Linked DNA regions of Arabidopsis thaliana. The protein of the gene in region 4 interacts with the protein of the main gene of each other region in a pairwise test. Each region holds a gene or a part of one and is shown on either strand. Other genes may lie near its edges.

What was found.
Region 1: the proteins of NIMIN-3 (region 4) and NPR3 interact in binary tests that used the Arabidopsis thaliana proteins (3 or more experiments, as listed by UniProt).
Region 2: the proteins of NIMIN-3 (region 4) and NF-YA7 interact in binary tests that used the Arabidopsis thaliana proteins (3 or more experiments, as listed by UniProt).
Region 3: the proteins of NIMIN-3 (region 4) and AT3G25790 interact in binary tests that used the Arabidopsis thaliana proteins (3 or more experiments, as listed by UniProt).

What each region holds. Positions count from the first base shown.
Region 1 is NC_003076.8:18,226,748-18,232,612, reverse strand, and holds NPR3 (NPR1-like protein 3), read right to left. Parts: upstream 3,846-5,865; 5' UTR 3,295-3,845; coding exon 2,761-3,294; intron 2,673-2,760; coding exon 1,922-2,672; intron 1,848-1,921; coding exon 1,647-1,847; coding exon of another isoform or gene 1,582-1,646; exon of another isoform or gene 1,554-1,581; coding exon 1,279-1,553; 3' UTR 1,035-1,278; downstream 1-1,034. Other genes in the region: AT5G45113 (mitochondrial transcription termination factor-related / mTERF-like protein), read left to right, coding at 1-336. UniProt on the Arabidopsis thaliana protein: Salicylic acid (SA)-binding substrate-specific adapter of an E3 ubiquitin-protein ligase complex (CUL3-RBX1-BTB) which mediates the ubiquitination and subsequent proteasomal degradation of NPR1 in response to SA.
Region 2 is NC_003070.9:10,803,124-10,808,035, forward strand, and holds NF-YA7 (nuclear factor Y, subunit A7), read right to left. Parts: upstream 3,306-4,912; 5' UTR 3,117-3,305; intron 2,805-3,116; 5' UTR 2,774-2,804; coding exon 2,746-2,773; intron 2,577-2,745; coding exon 2,446-2,576; intron 2,185-2,445; coding exon 2,110-2,184; intron 2,031-2,109; coding exon 1,866-2,030; intron 1,787-1,865; coding exon 1,613-1,786; 3' UTR 1,327-1,612; downstream 1-1,326. Other genes in the region: RFNR2 (root FNR 2), read right to left, coding at 4,027-4,526, 4,619-4,838. UniProt on the Arabidopsis thaliana protein: Stimulates the transcription of various genes by recognizing and binding to a CCAAT motif in promoters.
Region 3 is NC_003074.8:9,410,880-9,416,385, forward strand, and holds AT3G25790 (myb-like transcription factor family protein), read left to right. Parts: upstream 1-2,172; 5' UTR 2,173-2,316; coding exon 2,317-2,461; intron 2,462-2,565; coding exon 2,566-2,861; intron 2,862-3,182; coding exon 3,183-3,402; intron 3,403-3,515; coding exon 3,516-3,592; coding exon of another isoform or gene 3,593-3,631; exon of another isoform or gene 3,632-3,736; coding exon 3,737-4,072; 3' UTR 4,073-4,361; downstream 4,362-5,506. UniProt on the Arabidopsis thaliana protein: Probable factor involved in nitrate and phosphate signaling in roots. Integrates nitrate and phosphate starvation responses and adaptation of root architecture, depending on nutrient availabilities.
Region 4 is NC_003070.9:3,036,665-3,040,393, forward strand, and holds NIMIN-3 (NIM1-interacting 3), read right to left. Parts: upstream 1,745-3,729; 5' UTR 1,585-1,744; coding exon 1,246-1,584; 3' UTR 1,090-1,245; downstream 1-1,089. Other genes in the region: AT1G09410 (pentatricopeptide (PPR) repeat-containing protein), read left to right, coding at 1-896; G6PD4 (glucose-6-phosphate dehydrogenase 4), read right to left, coding at 1,976-2,213, 2,307-2,507, 2,583-2,779, 2,850-3,006, 3,126-3,160, 3,260-3,368, 3,449-3,654.

The DNA.
Region 1 (5,865 bases), on a different chromosome or scaffold from region 4:
GACTATAATGTGGTTAGCCAGCTTGTTAAGCGGGCGCCTCATATACTTAACCGGCCGAAAGATATCATAGAAAAGAAGATCATTATGCTAATAGATTATTTGGTTTATCCAATAGAATCCGTGATAGAGTCCCCAACATATTTGTGTTATAGTATGAAGAGAATACATCAGAGATTCACAATGTACATTTGGTTGAGGGAAAGAGATGCAGTAATACCGAGGCTGACACTAGGCACTGTTGTCGGTATTTCTAATACCCTTATTGTGCCATACTTTGTCAATACCCACCCGGAAGGTCCAGCTACTTGGGAAAATATAAAGAAAGCATCTACCTGATTAACTGGTCCGTTCAATGATATAACGTTATCTTCAATCTAGTGCAGATGTCTGTTGATCTATAACATTTTCTCATTGCTTAGCTCACAACCAGTGAAACCTGGAAATTCTCAGTGCGATGGAGAGGATCACAGAATATGTCGATGCATAGTGAAGTATTTCCGCCTGTGGATTTGATTGTACCTCTCTACTCATCAGTATAGATATAGATGCCAACAAACGAACAAGGAAGGACTTCGAGAAAGCTGAAAGAACAAAGGCTCTCCGTAATGTTGAAACGCCACTGAACTCAGTGAAGTGAATTTTAGACTGGACTGAACAGAGTGACAAATTGGAAAGGCACAGTCCTTCGTTGGTACAATATTCTTCTATTGCTTTACGATGTTGGAAAGGCACACTTAACATATAATGCAACTTGAAATGCTTTCTTTGTTGAAGAAGACAGATAGACAGTATTGGTCAGACAAGCCCCTGCCCCGACCCTATGCCAAAGAGAGCAGCTAACATCTACTTACTGGGACATACATGTGACAGTTCTGTTCAGAATGCATTATTACAGGTTGTTTGGAAGAATGGTTTTTGTTCTTTACTCTTAGCCACCAGTAGTCTTATCTTCTGTAATTATGTAAAGAGATAGCTATGATTGACAAATGATCATGTTTTTTCCTGACTTTTTGTGGAGTGTCTTTGTTTGTTTAAGTTTCAGGTATCTGAGAATATCTTGTAGATAACCTAAATATTAGATTTTTGTATTGAAAACAAAAGATTGCGTATAGTTAGAACGTTTTGGGTTAATCAGCACTCCTAATCTTGTACATCTATCTATCCATCTCTCTTTATTGAAACTGAACCTAAAGCATCTGTATAAAATCTGAGTAACATCCATAAAGAAAAAACCCTTTTAACAAAGATATCTAATTACATTTGACTTATGGTGCAGTTTCATGTTGTGTTGTGCAGGTCATCTCTTATGGAAGAAGAAGAAGGAGAAGATGAAGCAGAAAGACAAGACCGCGCAATCTTAGACTCTTTGTCTTTGCTATATGCCTTTTGGACATCATCCTTAAGCTCTCTATATCTCATTCTTTTCAATCTTCTTTCATGTGTAGATCCCTTCTCAAAATGGAAATCGTCGAGGATGTCGTCGTCTATATACTCAGCCATGTACTTATCTAGAACCTCTGAACCATATGGAAAAAACCTTCGACCAGTCTCAACTGCATTGTGAAACGGTAATGAAGTCAGTCAAGAGAAAATGAGCAACATAAGAAGATGAAGGGTAGACTTACAGAGAGCAAGCTTTTTGTTACCTGTTTTCATTAGAGCCACCATACGAGTAAGAAGTCTTTGGGTTTGCATATGAGGAGTTTCGTTTAAATCAACCTGACTCAAGTTTCCGGTTAACCCACTCGAAGGAGGTGACAAACCCGTGAACTCACTTGTACCTTCTACGTTACCAATGTCCATAGCAACTTTAGCTTCCGTTGGAAAGAACAACTGAGCAAGCCCCACTGCAAAAAAGGTAGAAGCTTTAACAAAAATGTAGTAAAGATACAGAAGAATTCAGTAATTTTCAGTCAATTACCTCTCTTTTCTAGGTACAACAGTCTCATCTGGAGATCTTCAGGCATAGAAATGGAACACATTGGTGTATCTAGAACCATGGGGTTCTTCCTGATTTCTCTTTCCAAGATATCGATGCATAACCTGGCTTTACTAGATTCACGCCCTTTAGCTGTTTTGGTATGATAATCCTTTGGATTTGTCAGTCTTCTTAATATATTAACTGCGCTACGTCCGTCAGATGTAAACTCAGATGCATTGGCGCCTTTATCGATAAGCGATATAATGATCGATGGCTCTCTACGCATCGCAGCAAAATGAAGAACCGTGTAACCCCGGGAATTCCTGTAGTTCACATCACCCATATCCAGAGCAAGAATCTCGGCAACAACTTTCGGATCACTATACACAACAGAATAATGCAGACCATTGGCTTGATCTAGAGTGATATCTGACTCAGTCAAAAGAAGCTTCACAAGCTCAACATCATCTGAATCCAAGGCCTTGAGAATTTTACCGATTCTTTCAAGCAATTTCTCCGAAATCTTGGGACTGGTTTCTTCGTCTTGCGGGGATATAAGTCGAAGCTGTTTAATCTTCTCTGCTACTTCGGGAGGAACTTCCTTTTCAATACAGAACCTGTAAAGATCTGACCTCGCCACTCTCTCAATACACTGATCAAGAAGCTGAGTCAACTTACAATTGAAAGCAACCATAAGAATGGGAAGAACATTCTCAACAAGGGTCTTCTCCACAAAGTTACAAAGCCGCCGCTGCAAGCACACAAACCTTTTAGTTCTCATTGAGGTCTATGAATTAAGAAACAAAGAGACCGAAGAAAAAAGAAGACTTTTCACACACCTGAAAAGATGAAACTAGCTCAGGCACTTGGAGAACAGAGGAAGCATACATCAATTGAACAACAAAATCAATGGCAGGTCGACAACAATCATGAGAACAAACTGGATCAACACAAGTCGAAACCTCCAATGGAAAAGGCTTTAATCTCCCAGTATATATATAACTCAAGAAATACAAGAAAGCTTCATGAGCAACAGCTCCATAAGGTAACATCTCTCTCAACTGATACTTTGGTTTCTCAGTTTTCGAAATTTTCTTTTCTTTCTTAAACAAATCTTGGAAAAACTTACTTCTTGCAGCTAAAATGCATCTATGAACACCAACTGGAACACCATCAACAATGATCTCTGCATCACTGTAATCACAATCTGAATTACTAAGAAGCTGCTCAAGATTGGAGCTGAGTTTGGTTAGACTAACAACTTCAGGATTAGAAGCTGAGCTTGATGAGAAGTGATTGGACCCAATAGAACCATAAGAGAAATGAGAAGATGTGAAACTCAAAGATGATGATGGCTCAGTCAAAGTAGCCATTTTCTCTTCTTCTTCTTCTTGTAGAATTATCAATCTTGCATGAAGATCAAGAAGATTACACAAGTCTGAAGATCGGTTTCAGATACAAAAGCCCTAAATTTACATTTCTAACAAGGAATCAACCAAACCCAGAACCAAAAGAGGAAAATTTGTACACTTGGGGATTTGAGTTATGAAACTATTACTCTTACACCTCTGATTCAATGTACCACAAAAAAAAGTCAAAAGGAAAGGAAGAAACTTTGGACAAGGAATCAAACAAAATTGGGAGAGAAAATAAACCCTAAGAGAATCTGACACAACCAAGGATATAGAGATTGAGATCTGCACAATCGTAAGAGATAAGATCAAAGAGAAGGCAAAAGAACCAAATTGAGATGTATCAAAGAGATAAAAAGGAAGAGAATTTAGAGGAAAAGTCAAGAAAGAAAGAGAGGTATATAAAGGATAAATGATGATGAAATTGAGAACAAACAGGACACAACAGGTGCAAGTGATGGTGAAAGAAAGAGACAGCTTCAATGTGAAGGAAGATACAGAGGAAACAAGAGAGTTAATATAATAGTTTTTTTTGTAAATTTAATAATATGAATTAATAAGCATTAGAATTAAAAACATGGTCTAATAAAGTGTATAAAGAAAGACTCAAATGAAAGTTGACAAATAGAAAACAAAGACTAGAAAAATCCGTGTATGATGCCAAAGGTTCTCCGTGTATGACGCCACTCACTAACATTTTCCACATCTTTCTCTAATTTAACAAATCTATGGATAAACACATATTTTTTTTCTCATCAAAATCACTATTTTTATTTGACTGCGATATATCACATCATTAATATATTTTTATTTACATCATATTATTCAATAGTTTTAATTTGTTTCTTAGGTGTAAATAACTTGTAATGATATGCCAATTAATGCCGTCACGAAATAGCATTAAGTCAAGAAGATTAATATTAAGAAATAGCCGTCACTATTGATGACGGAAGGAAGTGACGAAAGCAAATACGAACGGCATATGAATGACGTGGCTTGTGTGTGGATTGCTGCAATGTGATGACGTATTAAACAATTACACTTTCGGAATAGTAGATAAATCATAAAGTAATAGTAGAGATTATAATAGGCAATAGCTATGCCTATAGTGGTCCAAATTTTTATTAAATTTATAATTTTGTGATGACCAAAGTCATTCTTTGTGGCCTAGTTCCAAATTTTAAGACATAAATAACGTTTTGAAATGAATTGAATATAGATATGAGGGACGACAATTTTGTCTTGATTTTTTTTTTTAAAACAAGAAGATTCTTGGCTTCGTAACAAAGTGGTGAAGTCTCTTATGCTAGCATTCTAGTCGCGTCGGAAATTCGACTCTACCTACAAGGCTACAAATACAATCGGTGAAATGCGTTAGCTGACTATTAAAAAAAAAAAAACTCTTTAAGGATAGTCGTTGAATAGTTTATTCATCAAATTTTTATATGAAATAAAATTTAATTAGCATTATTTCGATTGGCAATGATTCCTATGATTAAATTTTCGACTTTCGGTAATGCTATCGAATATAGAATTCTAACTATAAATATATATTTTTAACAAAAAATAACATATAAGTGTAAACTTGGATAGTGACAATGCAACGTCACTAATACAAATCATATTAGTATATTACTTTGACTTAAACTATCAAATATACGCTAAGTTTTGGTCACTAGTGACGCTGCGTTACTTTGGTAAACCATATGTTAATTTGTATCTTTCGTTCACTAAGTATCACTAAATCATATATTAAACCATCAACGTCACTAATACAAATCATATTACTATGGCTTAAATCATCAAATATGCGATAAGTTTTGGTCACTAAATAATTATTTTATGTATTACTTTGGCTAAAACCATCAAATATTAACAAGACAAAAAAAAGTTTCCTACCAATTCGTTATTTAGATCAGAAGTTTTAACCCATTCAAATTTACAAATTTCTTACATAAACTAAGTATAACGATGTAACCCATAAAGCCTTGAACTCACACAAGATTGAGGACATATATATTGGTAGTTATTCAAAATTGTTATATCACTTTATGACTCAAAAACGTAATTTGTTTTGTTGATGTCAATGGATTGATTTCTTTTGTTTTCATGTTTTTTTCTTTTTTTGCCATAAGACCAAAAACTTCAGGCTTTACTTCATGAAAATCCTAACACTTTTCATTTTAGTGGAATATTTAAATTCTTAACAAAAAGACAAAAACAAAACTCATACAAGAGATAAATCATTCTAAAGAGGAGTGTAAACTAGTAAAGCGTGACCTAACACAAGAGATAAAAATCATTCTAAGAGGAATTGGAAACGAAACTTAACTTGATGAAACAATTAAAAAGAAAAATAACAAAACAAAAAGAAAACTCTTAAATTTTCCATAAAAATATATAGTCAATGCCGGCTTAACTATAGGGGCCGATAATATAAACTTATAGGGTACATAACTACATATACATAAATTTATAGGGCACAAAAAAAAAAATCTATACAAGATGGACACAATTTGTTTTTTGTATATA
Region 2 (4,912 bases), 7.8 Mb from region 4:
TATAAAGAACTTTTTGAGGTGGACGATCTTCAGTTGGATCACGGATTCTGTCATTGTTCTTTGGTCGATTTTTGGAAATTAATATCCCATTAATATTTAATTACTGTGGGGTTAAGTTTATTAACAGGTTTTAGTTCAGGGTTTGTTTTACTAAAAATATAGTTCAGGGTTTAAAAATGGATCTGGCCAAAGTTGAGGGTTTTTTTTATTAAATTCCCTATAAATTATGAGAAAACAAAGACAGGTCTGCCTTTGCTGGGGGTACAACCTGTATTTTTGGTTGGTTACGATTTTTCAATTGGTTTGTATCCATTTGTCCAAACATTGTTTCTTTTCTATTCTTTTTTGGTTTTCTTATAACTTTCTATGATTTTTGGACAGAAATAAATATATAAATTAATATATTTATTTCTTATGTGAAGTATATATATACGCAAAATACAAGATTGATCATCACCTACTATGAAGGATTTCGATCTAACGGCACTTTTTACCTAGATAGCTAATTTGATATTTGAAGTAGAGAACAATGGAGAGATTCTCATCGAAATACCATACAAGTAGAAGCTCTTAATTATGAGGATCATGTTGCACATTCAAGTAATATTTCTCTGCACAATTGTCTGTAAATAGGAGAGCTATTTCGTAGAAAACCGAGTAAACTAAATCCAAAAAAATTCTGCCCTCCAAATAGATTTCCAACGATAAATACAAAATGGAGGCAGAAGCAACACATGTGGATGTACTTCGCTCCTCAAACGTCTCTGGTTTCGTCAGAAGGTTTGGTCTGATACCTCAACTCGATCCTACAAATAATAAGAAAACAAGCTAATTGGATTATTGATTTACAAGTGGCACAATAGATTTTTTTTTTTTGGGTCTAAAATGAGAGATAAAATTAATTTACAAATGGGTGAAATTCCAAGAAATTACAAAATTTTGATTACGAAGAATTTATTAATTTATATAGGTTATTAAGTTATTGACTATTATTTTTTAGAGGTTGTATTGTACTTGCATAACATTATCATAGATGAAATTATGTGGATAGAATCCTTGTAGATATGAAATGATCCTTGGTGCAAAGGTTTGAATATCGAAGTCAAGTATGGCTTCAATATCTCATTTGATGTATTCAACATCAACCAAGACACGATAACCATACTAACGTTGATAGGGCTCTATATTCCTCTTGAAAGTCAGAAAGGATTCTTGTTCTGGAGTGAGACTGTGAGAGATATAGTACCTAATCTTCTATGAGGAGGAAATACATATCGACCATCCACCCGTTCTTGCACATAGACCACAACCTTGGTGTCATTGTTTGTGGATTCTTCCATTCTTCGTTTTATTACCAAAATTTCTTATAACAAAACAATATCAGTAGCATTGTATTTAACTAAACATCATGGACATTATTTATTTCCCTTTTTCCTCGGTGGGTTTTATTTAATAATCACAAGTCTAAAACCCACTTCACGTTTACCTAATTGCTTCCCAAGAACCTATCTATACCTTTATACAAAGATTTGTATATATCATACACTAAAAGACATAGATGATCTGAGACCAAACAGAGCCAAAATACAACAAAGCTACTTGTAGGACCTTCTCAAGATGTACCACTAGAAGCAGCCATGGCGGATTTACCAGCGCTAAGGTTGGATTTTTCTTCATGACTACTGTCTTCGTGATGCTCATCCTCCTTCTTGGCATTTAGAAACCGCCCGCCACATCCTCTTGGTCGTCTTATCGCATGCAAATGCCGAGATTCATGCAAATACGGCTACAAATACACTCTCAAGATTTACACAAATGAAGTAAGATATCATAACCAATAAACGATTTAAGAAAAGTTTTCTTACCTTACGTGACTTGATGACTTTATTCTGAGACTCAAGTCTTGCTCTTGATTGTCTGCGCCTTAGTATACCGTGGTATTGCTTTGCGTTAACAAAAACAGGTTCCTCGACTGCATCAGATGGTAAAGGAACGCCTTGTTGCTGCACTCCCATCAACTGTAGATGTACCTGAAATGATTTGTAACATAAATCCAACTTATCCAGATAAGAACAATCGTCGTAGGGTGGACTAAGTAATACACCATACCCCGGTATACGGTTGTGGAGGCGGTGCAAATATGCTTCTGTAGTAAGGATCTGGATATGGATATTGTCCAGGTGCCTTTAATTATAAGAATACACATACATAAAACATGAACAAAATTTTGTTACTTGTATATCGTCTGAAAATGCAGAAAGGTGATATTGTATTAGTCATGGTGCCAAGAAGTAGTTAAACCTAGAAATTATCAACTAGAAGGTGCTACATATGAAGAGCAAAAAAATACAAATTAGCTAGCTTCAAAGGCAAGGCAATCAAAGATTTGGACGAAACTCATTAGCAATAATCAAGAGAGGTGTGATCAAACATTTCCATTTTTACCATGGAATTTGTAGTCCCCGGGTCTGAGTAGACTAAACTTGTAACAATTGATTCATAATTTCTTGCAGAAGGGATTGGTGGTTGGAAATGAGAATCTCTCTGTTCTTGCTTCTCATGACTTCCAATGTTATCTGGACAAGAACACACCAAACTTAACAAGAGAGCACCACCAAAAGAATCATTAACAGCAAACCAAATGAACTATAAAACAAGCTTAGGTAAAAATCTATCTTCTGAAAGCAGAATCAACTTGAAATAAAATATAAGCATAAAATGAATAAGGAAGAGAGAGAGCAAAACCAGAAAGCTCATGGATTGAAGAAGTCATGACTCATGAGCTTAATGTCCGAAGCAGAATTCTGAAAAGTTCCAAAGAACAGAGTCAGTACATGATCCTGGTAAACCTATTTTAAATAAACTCAAGAACCAGAACTATCAAATCCCCACAAAATCATTAACCTCATATTTAAACTAAACAAGTCAAGCTACTTAGAATAATCACAGAACCAAATCAGAACATCCACAACTTTCATAAATAACAACAAAAGATGATAAACCATAATTAAACCTATAATTCTCACAGTCCTACTAAATCCTAAAACAGCAAAGCAAAATTCTAACAAAAAACAAATCAAAGGCTAAGAATTTCAAAACCAATATATAAAATTTACCTCTCTGCAATTTTCTCTGACGACGATTAGAGAGCCTCTTCTTGAAAATGAAGAACAGAGAGAGAGCGAGAGAGTGTCGTTTTCTTCCCTTCCTCAAGTTATTCCGCACTTTTAATATCCCCAAACTTCAGAGCGTCCTTCTCAACTAGCATAAAACGTCATGACGTTTTCAGTCTTCAGCAAGTAAAGAAACGGCAGAGTTTGTAACAATTGATGCGGACGCAATATCGATCGTACAAGTGGAGAATTAGAGAAGCGTTTTAGATTGCACGTAGCAGATTACGGGCAGATCTAAAATTTGCTGACCGAAGCAGCTCGCTTACACTACTGATTAAGTCCACGGGGACCTAACCTCTACCCGTTGCCCGATTCTTATTGGTATTTTCTGTTGTGTGAGTCATCGATAGCGAAACCGGTTCGTATTTGTTTGAATTCTAGAGACATCAGACAAGAGAGTAATCTCGGTTCGGTATGAATCTATGACACTAATTCGAATTGTTCAGCTACATAACCGAACAAAAGCCGAAAATTCAAAATACTTATGTTTTGGTAAACCGATGATTATTATGATTTATTGATTTATAAACTCTCTAAAATTTTCATTAAAATGACGTTAGGCGATTCGAATATTTTATGCAATATTCTATAACCTTTGGTTGGGTTTATGGCAGCACATGTAAGATAAGATTATTCTCAACTTTAATAGTATATACCTTTTCGTCGTTTTCTTGATGGCTCATGTCACTACATAAATGATATATTGATTATTCTCTGAGAATATTCTCTTCTCAAAACCAACAAATTTCAGATATTATCATCATATCATGTTTGAAAAGTAGAAAAACACCAAATTCAAATTTATTACGATTCTTAAATCAAAAATCAAAAACAGCAAATACAAATAAAGAGCTCAATAGACTTCAACGTGCCACTGCTTGTTCTTCCTGAGCTGAGAAAGCTTCAAGTCCCAGCTCTCACCTCTCTCTTCTGCAACTCTCTTAAGTGTATCTTGAATCCCAGGCATCATTCCTTTAAGCCCACAGAAGTAAATATGAGCTCCATTGTCCAAAAGCTTGAAGATCTCATCACTATATTCTTCAATCTTGTCCTGCACGTACATCTTTCCACCTTTCTTGTTCTTCTCCTCTCTGCTCAATGCCTTGTCGAACCTAAAGTTGTCTGGATGGTCTTTTAGGTACTTGGTAAACTCTTCGTCATAGAGAAGGCTATCGGTGTTGGCCACGCCTAAGAAGAGCCAAGCTAAGCCGCTAAATGTCTTGTTTGGGACGTTTTCCATGAACATTCGACGTAAGTAGCCTCTGTATGGAGCCACTCCTGTTCCCGTGGCTATCATTATGTGTGTCGCGTTTGGATCACTCTCGGGTAATAGCATTACCTTCCCAGATGGACCTGGTTTTGAAATGTATATTGAGTTAAAAGAAAACTTAGTCCAAGGGGTCTTTAAGTATGAGATCAGTTGGTTGGGTAATTAGTTTACATACCGGTGATTTGAATCTTGTCACCGGGCTTTGAATCACATAGGAAGTTGCTGCAGACTCCGTTCTTTGAAGGATCTTCTTTTCCAGTCTCAGGGTCGTAATAAACAGCTCTACGTACACACAAACTCGCTGTTTTACCGTCAAAGAAATCTCCGTACCTTGTTGATGCAATTGAGTAAAGGCGCACATTGTGTGGCGCTCCCGGTTTCTTCGGGTTCTCACCCTACACGCAAAAGTTCCAGTTCATTAATAGATTTAAGAGATTAAGAATGGTGGTAACAATTTGAAGACAACGTA
Region 3 (5,506 bases), on a different chromosome or scaffold from region 4:
TGTTATACTCTAAAGATCGATATTATTGTGTCTACCAGTCAAAACATGTGTTGGAGGGAAATTTTATTTGTAGGTTCATCATATGTCAGGAACATTATTGTCATGTTTCTGTAAGCTTTCTGACATTTAAGTTCAGATTTTGACCATAAGTTTTGATCATAAATGAGAAAAGAACAAAGTTAAGTTTAGTTTTGCGAATGTTAAAAAAAATAAATATCTTATTTGCACTTTTTGAATTATTTACCAAATATAAAAACCAAGATGGTGTTTTTTTTGTAATACCAAAAAAGAGAGAATTTTAGCTACGAGAGAATGCAAAATTCGGATTTGTGATCCGTTTTATTGAAAAAGATTTTAGTTTCATAGAACATATATCAAGTAGTATACAAATTGAAAAATAGGGTCTGATAGATCCGAGACACTTGGGTATTATCACCTAACTTTTAAACGTTTATGCCAGTTTTTTGACAAACAAATCACGAAGTATTTGAGGATAAATACAGTATTTGTTTATGTTTTCTATCTTTTTTTAGGAGGATGAGTTCATTGGTTTGATCTTAAACAATTGAAAATTTATAGGTTACCACCAATTTTGCGATTTTTTTTCTTCTTCTATACTTTAGATTTAAGTTTATATATAGATATTTTCGTTTGATATCAATATGGGAAGCCCACAAAGTTGGGGAGTTTAGTGGTACCTTTTTTTTTGGTTCACAATTGCATACGAATATTGGGGAGTTTAGTGGTACTATTGCATACGAATATTGGAGATACGAGAAAGGGGTGGAAAAAATTGATGATAAATTGAGCCCAAGTAGGAAACAATACACAAGGCCGTATATAAAGTTGGCATGTTGGGTTCAATACATGAGGCCGTCTTTTTGTTCGGCCGCGGCCAGTGGTGAACACTGAATATGGCCTTTTGAGACTCCGAGGGGACAATTATAATCCAACACTAAAATACATCTCTAAACTCTATTTGCCAACTAATTTCTTTATTTAAAATACGTTTCAATCTAATCAAAACAGATAAGCCTGTTAAACACAATTTTGATTTCTCGAGACTACGAATAGGTGGATCTATTTGTATCATAACATCATAACATATAAATCGATATTTAAAATTTTGAGTAATAAATTTGATGTTGGTCTCTAACAATTTGCGGGTAATTTCTTGATATTTTGGACATCACCCGAACATATTAGCTCATTACACACCAATTTCTATAGAGGCAACATATTTTCTTATCATTAAAGTTGACAGCTATTAGAGCCCTTAATCACGTTTGATTTCATATCTAATTCCAAATTATATGGATATAACAACAGCATAGCATATAAATTGATATGTGTAGCATTAGGTTATATCTTTGACCGGGAAATGCATTGGCAGGCCATTATACTGGGAAGATGCATTCGCATATATATTAGTAGGTGTACTTAGTAATCGTCTACTTGACATAATTAAAATTACCGGTCAAAAACACGAGATATATAGGAACTCATATTGTGTGGATATATATATTAGTTTACATGTGTATTTATGGATAAGGTTATAACGAATTCAACAAATTCTCAAGGTCCTATGAAATTTCAACAAGTATATTACAGTTTTTTTTTTATATATGGCTTTTCTTCTCCCATGTTTCGGCTGTCTACGAAGAGACATTTGGCTTTTCATATTGGGATATTGAAAAATACATTTTCAACGTTTTATATATGATTTTGTGTGGGTGAAATTAATACTTACAGAACAAAAGAGCTCATGCACGTTTAGTGTTATTTTGGCGGCTGTTTTTAAGGATTTGCATATATTCTTTCCCACGTATTGAATTCTATAAATGACATAATAATCAAACTTGTAAAAATAATAGAATGAATAGTTTATAGTCTTCCAAAATTCGATTTCTGTTGTAGTGGAATCGCAGACATTTTCTAACTTATGAATGTTGTTATAGGACTTCTTTAAACCTTGGTTGGATATACCCAAATAAATATAAAGTTCACACGAAAAAAACTTGGAATCACATCCAGGAATATTCACCACTGGATCAATACTACTATACAACAAGGGAAAAAAAAATATTTAACTTGGGAAGGTATATACTTATTTTATAAACAAAAGCAAGATTCGCCTTGTAATGCGACGGCCCGACTTCTCTCTTTCAAATAATGATCCTTGAGAAACCCTATAGAGCCATATATACGTTGTCTTTATAAAGAGACATAACTCATCTCTTCTTGACTAACTTTATAGTTAAAGTTATCAATTATTCGAAAACAAAGCTGGTTTTTTGTTTTGTCCCTTAAACCAGCATGATCAAGAACTTAAGTAATATGAAGAATGACAATCAGAAACGTGAAAAATGTTGCGAGTACATCGAAGCTCTCGAAGAAGAACGTCGCAAGATCAATGTTTTCCAACGCGAGCTTCCTCTTTGCGTAGAGCTCGTGACTCAAGGTACATACATATGCATTTACATTTCATATAAGATATAATGAGTTTATATATATGGATTAAATGTTAGATCTAAAGATTTTTAAAAAATGTTTTATGGAATTTAGCGATTGAGGCGTATAAGAGGGAGATATCAGGGACGTCGACGGATAACTTATACGGACAGTCGGAGTGCTCAGAGCAGACCACCGGAGAATGTGGGCGCATCTTGGATCTGTTCATACCAATCAAACACTCTTCGACCTCCATAGAAGAAGAGGTTGATGACAAAGATGATGATGATGAAGAACACCAGTCTCATGAAACCGACATAGATTTTGATGACAAGAACATGAAATCTGAATGGCTCAAGTCTGTTCAGCTCTGGAACCAATCCGACGCAGTTGTTTCTAATAATAGACAGGTAAGATTTTTATTTTATTTTATTTTTTCTTTGTTTACATTTGTGTTTTTGTTTGCCTTGAATTACATTTACTGTATTGTTTCCAAACCAGCCTATTGACGTTGTTAATTGTTAACGTAAAGACTAAACGCATAACCTTCTGTGTACTTTATGCGATTGTGTTTGTAACTTACAACTTCACAAATAGATTATTCTTTTTTCTTCCAGTTTTTGTTTTTTTTAATAGACCGAAAAAGGATGGGTGCACAAAAAGATAGTAAATTGCTCACAAAAAGATTTTGTTTTGTAATTTAAGTTTCTAATAGCATTTTGCGTATTCAGGATCGCTCACAAGAAAAGACAGAGACGCTGGTAGAGTTGATAAAAATAAACGATGAAGCAGCGAAGAAAAACAACAACATAAAATCACCGGTGACTACTAGCGATGGTGGCAGTGGCGGTGGCGGTGGCAGAAGAGGGCAGAGAAAGAATAGGCGGTGTTGGTCGCAAGAGTTACACAGACGCTTCTTGAACGCTCTTAAACAACTTGGTGGCCCTCATGGTGCGTTTCTTGGTTTTAAGTTAAAACATATATATCAGTAGTCATATCTTTTTGTTAGGGCTCATGAAGTTTAATTAATTCGTAATGACCTTTTTGTTCACTAAATTTTGAAGTAGCTACGCCGAAACAGATAAGAGATATAATGAAGGTTGATGGGTTAACAAATGATGAAGTCAAAAGTCATTTACAGGTTAGTAAATCATATTCCATGAAAAATACATGTAACTAATATGTAAAAGGTATATATTAATTTCATCATTTTAGTTACAAATGTTTTTATAATTTAGAAGGAAAATAATATTTATTGTTTCATATTTTTTTTAATGATAAATAGAAATATAGGCTGCATGCAAGACGGCCAAGCCAAACAACACCGAACAACAGAAACTCTCAAACGCAACATTTCGTGGTGGTTGGTGGAATATGGGTCCCACAGACTAACCATTCAACGGCCAACGCAGTCAACGCCGTCGCATCGGGTGAGACCACCGGGATTTATGGGCCTATGGTCAGTTCGTTGCCGTCCGAGTGGCCGAGGCATTCCAATTTTGGTAGGAAGATTTCGGAAGATAGATCAAGATGCTCTAACAACGGATTTTTTCGGTGTAGCTCACCAGCTATGTCTTGTTCTACTCGTACAAAGACGAAAGATGCAAAAATAATATCATAAATTTAATTTTTGATTATTTATTAAGAGAAAAAAGTTATAGACATTAATATTGTGAAGAGTGTATATATATAGATGTTGGAGCGTGACTCTATGTTATTTTTAGTTTCTTGGTTTTTTTCTATTAGCCGATGATATCTTTGATCAAAGATCCATATTAGCTAATGCATACTATATTTTTTTACGTCGTGCAATATGCATATCGATGATAATAAGTTAATAACACAAAATTATTAGATTACTAGTTGAAGAATCGTATATAGAAAGAATCGTAATTATATGTAGAATGATGGTATATTATCAGCATATATTTTTATAGAGGCTTTAGCCACCAAAATTAATAAATGTCAGTCACAAACTCAAATTAATTAATTTCGTCCTTAACATATGTATGTCGGCCAGGTTTCTATTTGCTATAGTAATATAAGATACACAGAAACATTGTAGAAATGTAAAATGTCTTCGAAAACAGAAGAAAAATACATATATAAACTTTTTTGAATGAAAATAAAAAAAATTATGCCATACAGAAGGATCGGAACTCGGTAGAATATGCCGGAATCTGAAGAGCATAATCTGCAAATATGTTTTTCAGGTTAAACTTTATTCTCTTGTTGCTTGTACTGGATATTAACACAAATGTGCACGTTGGGCTCCTTCTCGTGGAGTGAATTATTCTTTATTTGTTCCTTTTACTTTTGTAAATACAATTTTTCCATATAAGTATATAACTGTGTAAATATTAAACCCAAAATATGTTAAAAGACAAGTTTTTTTGTAACTTAAGGGCAAGAAACAAGGTGTAAAGCCACATGAAAATTGCTGACCATTCTAACTCTCGACACTACTATACAATTAATATCTCTTGACTTGTACTCATTCTCTATAACAACAACAATTGTTGGGTTTTCTTGTTCGCTCTCACTGTTGTTTATTAAGTGTTGTTCGTTTGCGAGGTTTTCTGAATCAATAATCAAAATGATTTCGATTGATAAGTTATCCTTTAATCAAAATTTCTTGGTTCCTATGGTTTCATCACCTCAAACATAAAAAAATCATACCAAGTTGTTAAATATCTTTAAAAATTCCTACCAAGTTACTAAATAAGTGTTCACAAATTTAGGGATCCTTTCATGTGACTCTATGAGCCATGTGACCTATTTTTCTACTACCTTTATAACAAATGGGGCTACAGTTTTAATAATATTCTTACTGATAATTTAATTTGAATACGAAGACCATTGGGAAACTTGAACATTGAGAAAGGCTATTGGAGTTCCCGAGATGGCGGTTTGATCTATTTCAAATCTTCAATAATATTACTATTATCAAATACTTCTTTGATTCTATAGATGTGTAAGTATTAATAATTTAATATTTGACGATGGATCCAAAAGAACAGGAATCGGATTAGGGTTTCCTTATGATATGATTTAT
Region 4 (3,729 bases):
CCTCACACGGTCTTGGAGAGGAAGCATTAAAGGTTTTCTGTGAGATGCCTTTGTCTGGTAGTACTAAGCCTAACGAAGTCACCTTCGTTGCAACTCTCTCAGCATGTAGTTACGCTGGGATGGTTGAGGAAGGGCTTAAGATCTATGAATCTATGGAATCAGTTTTTGGGGTTAAGCCAATCACCGCGCATTATGCTTGCATGGTAGATATGCTTGGGCGTGCAGGACGGTTTAATGAGGCAATGGAAATGATTGATAGTATGACTGTCGAACCAGATGCTGCAGTTTGGGGTTCTCTATTAGGAGCGTGCAGAACTCACTCGCAGCTGGATGTGGCAGAATTTTGTGCGAAGAAACTCATAGAGATTGAACCGGAGAATTCTGGGACTTACATCTTGCTCTCCAACATGTATGCATCTCAAGGTAGGTGGGCTGACGTTGCAGAACTGAGAAAACTTATGAAGACTAGGTTGGTAAGAAAATCACCAGGTTGTAGCTGGACTGAAGTCGAGAACAAGGTGCATGCATTCACTCGTGGGGGTATTAATAGCCATCCCGAGCAGGAATCTATTTTGAAGATACTGGATGAATTGGATGGGTTATTGAGAGAAGCCGGGTATAATCCTGATTGCAGCTATGCATTGCACGATGTAGACGAGGAAGAGAAAGTCAATAGCCTGAAATATCATAGCGAGAGACTAGCGGTAGCTTATGCTCTTTTAAAGCTATCTGAAGGAATACCCATCCGAGTCATGAAGAACCTTAGAGTTTGTAGTGATTGCCACACAGCAATAAAAATAATCTCTAAGGTGAAAGAGAGGGAGATCATTCTAAGAGATGCAAACAGATTCCATCACTTCAGAAACGGAGAGTGTTCCTGTAAAGATTACTGGTGAGATTCAATAAATGCCAAGCAGAATGTTTTTTTTTAATCTTAGGCTTAGCTATCAATCCTCGTTGGAGCGTTGGCAAAATGGAGTAATTCTCGCAAACCATAGGAACTTGCTCAGCCATTGATGAGAGTTCTCTCTAAGTTCTTCTGCTAATATATATATATTTTTTTACTGATCTTGTTATCAATGTGCATTTGTAGCATTTTCTTCAATATGGTTAATAAGAAGTGATGAACAATCTTCAAGCAAAACTAGAATTCCATGACACATTTGTTTTTGGTACGTAGTTACTAACATTCTTTGTTGCTTATACAGAAACTGAAGAGCTCTTTGTCTCTTGTATGTATGTATGCTACAGAGAAAGATTCAAGTCTAAACAAACGTTAGTCTCAGATCCTTCTTGCTTTTCCTTAGAGCCATCATACTCGTTGGATGCTGAAGAGCTCTCATTAGCTGCTTTTTCAATGTTGTTGGCCTCTGCTTTATTCATGAAAATGAAATCTTCTGGCTGAAACGAAGGGAATCTACGAACCCTTGCTCTTTCTTCTTCTTCCTGTCTCTTCTTCTCCATGGAGCTGTTGACATATTTCCGCATTTCCCTTGCGTTTTTAAGCACTGTGTACAACTTCTCCATCTTTTCTTCTTCGTCATCTTCCTTCTCCATTTTCACCCTCTTTCTGTCTCTGTCCATTGAACCGCTCTCTCTTCCTTCCCCTATGAAAATGTTTCTCTTTAGTTACATCATTTTCATCCTACTTTGATCATCAACACATGATACATCTGGAAGAATTTTCTGGAGGAATTGGTGGAGAAGATATAATTATTGCCTCTAGTGGGAAGACTAACAACATGACCTTATCTAAAAGTCTCTCAGACTTTCTTCTTTCCTTTGGGTGGCTTTGGAGACTTTTCAACACTATTATGGACCCCACCATGATGGACATTCATATAGCAACATGACATACATGTGTACATATGTACAGTCTACAGGGAATGGCACAGCTTCAAGCTAAACAAACACACTTCACAATAACCATTCAGAATCACTCTCATTTGTTTGTTGCTGCATCTATGTTTCTTCTTCAGTCATCTGCCCATGGGACACCGTGCTTGGCCCAAAGATAGTATGCCGCAACTGGTCCTCGTCCACCAAATTCATACAACTCCGGAGCTGTGTGATGCTTGTCTATCTCTTCTAGAACCGGACTAAGAATGTTCCATGCTGCTGCAACCTCATCGCTTCTCATGAACAGATGATTGTCTCCGTCAATTACATCATGAATTAGGTGTTCATATGAGTCTGGTACTTCGGTTTTATACCTACAGGTTTGATCCAACAATTCAACCAACCATAAGGCGCAAAAGTTCGATTTTTAAAATGTGTAGGAACAAAGATGAGAATGCAAAACTTGCCTGTCTTTATAGAGCAAGTTAAGTTCAGAAGCGTCTAGCTGAAGACCTAAACCAGGAACCTTGTTGTTGATTTTCACCAGGATGGCCTCATCAGGTTCGTCACGTAGAATAAGCTCATTTGTCCCCAAATCTATGTTTATTCCAATATTTTCTCGGTATAGGTTTCCAGGAACATGCCGGAATTGCACATGAATCTCCACTCTTTCAACATTAAGGCACACCAATCAATTGTTATGACAGTTGGATATGTCTATGAGTAGGAATAATTATTCTTACCTGTGTTTAATGAGGCCAGTGCCAACTCTTACAAGGAAAGGTACACCATCCCAACGTGCATTATCAATATACAAGGCTGCTGCACAATATGTAGGGTCTACACCGTTCAAGATCACACCGTTCTTGTCTCGGGAACTGGATTTATACTGGCCAAGGATGACATCACGCGGGTCTATCTTGCGAATTGATCTTAAAACCTTCACCTGCAGAAGCAGGTTTGTCACCAAGTCACTTGACAGAACAAGAGTACACAACTTACATATATACCATAAGACGATTTTGTTCTTTACAGTACAGGTTGACCTTTTCATTTCGGATATCTTCACCATCGAGACTTATCGGAGGTTCCATGGCAAGTAATGCGATTGTCTGAAGTATATGGCTGTGCACTATGTCCCGTATTATTCCATATCCATCAGAAAACCTTAAAAAAAGCAGTAGGAAATTAGAAAATAACATTACTGATTTGTCTAAGAATGCTGAAACAACACAATTTACTCTCACATGCAAAGAAATGGTGAAAATAGAACTATTGTGCCTTACTTTTCTGTTTGCGCAATTGATTCTGATATAATAACCTGGAAACATCATTTATACACAAAGTGAACAAACCAGAATGTGGAAGAGGAAAGTTCAGGCACTATACACAACTACAAACAATCAGAAGGAAACACTACCTGTATATTGCGTATGTATGTTCTGTTCCATAGTGGTTCAAAAACTAGATTTGAAAACCTTAACACTGTCAGATTTTCAATGAGGTTTCTTCCTAACATGTGATCTATCCTGTAACGGGCACAGAAGTGTGAAGAAATATGAACTTGAGAGCTGTGCATGCAGAAAGCAACTAGATTTAAAAGAAGGACCTGTAGATTTGCTTCTCTTCAAACTTAGAGAGAAGTGACTTTGTTAACTGATGAGACGAATGTGAGTTAAAACCAAAAGGTTTCTCAACTATTATTCGAGTCCAGCCTCGTGGTGCCTGAGCGTTATCTCCAATGGTGCATGCCACATCCACCAGAGCTTCTTGAGGTACTGAGAGGTAAAAGATTCTATTTGCTTCTGATTCTCCCTGAAGAAGAAAAGCTGTTAATGTCTTATTCTATCTTGCTTGTCTGTTCAAAATGTTGTAAACTCAGAAAGAGGA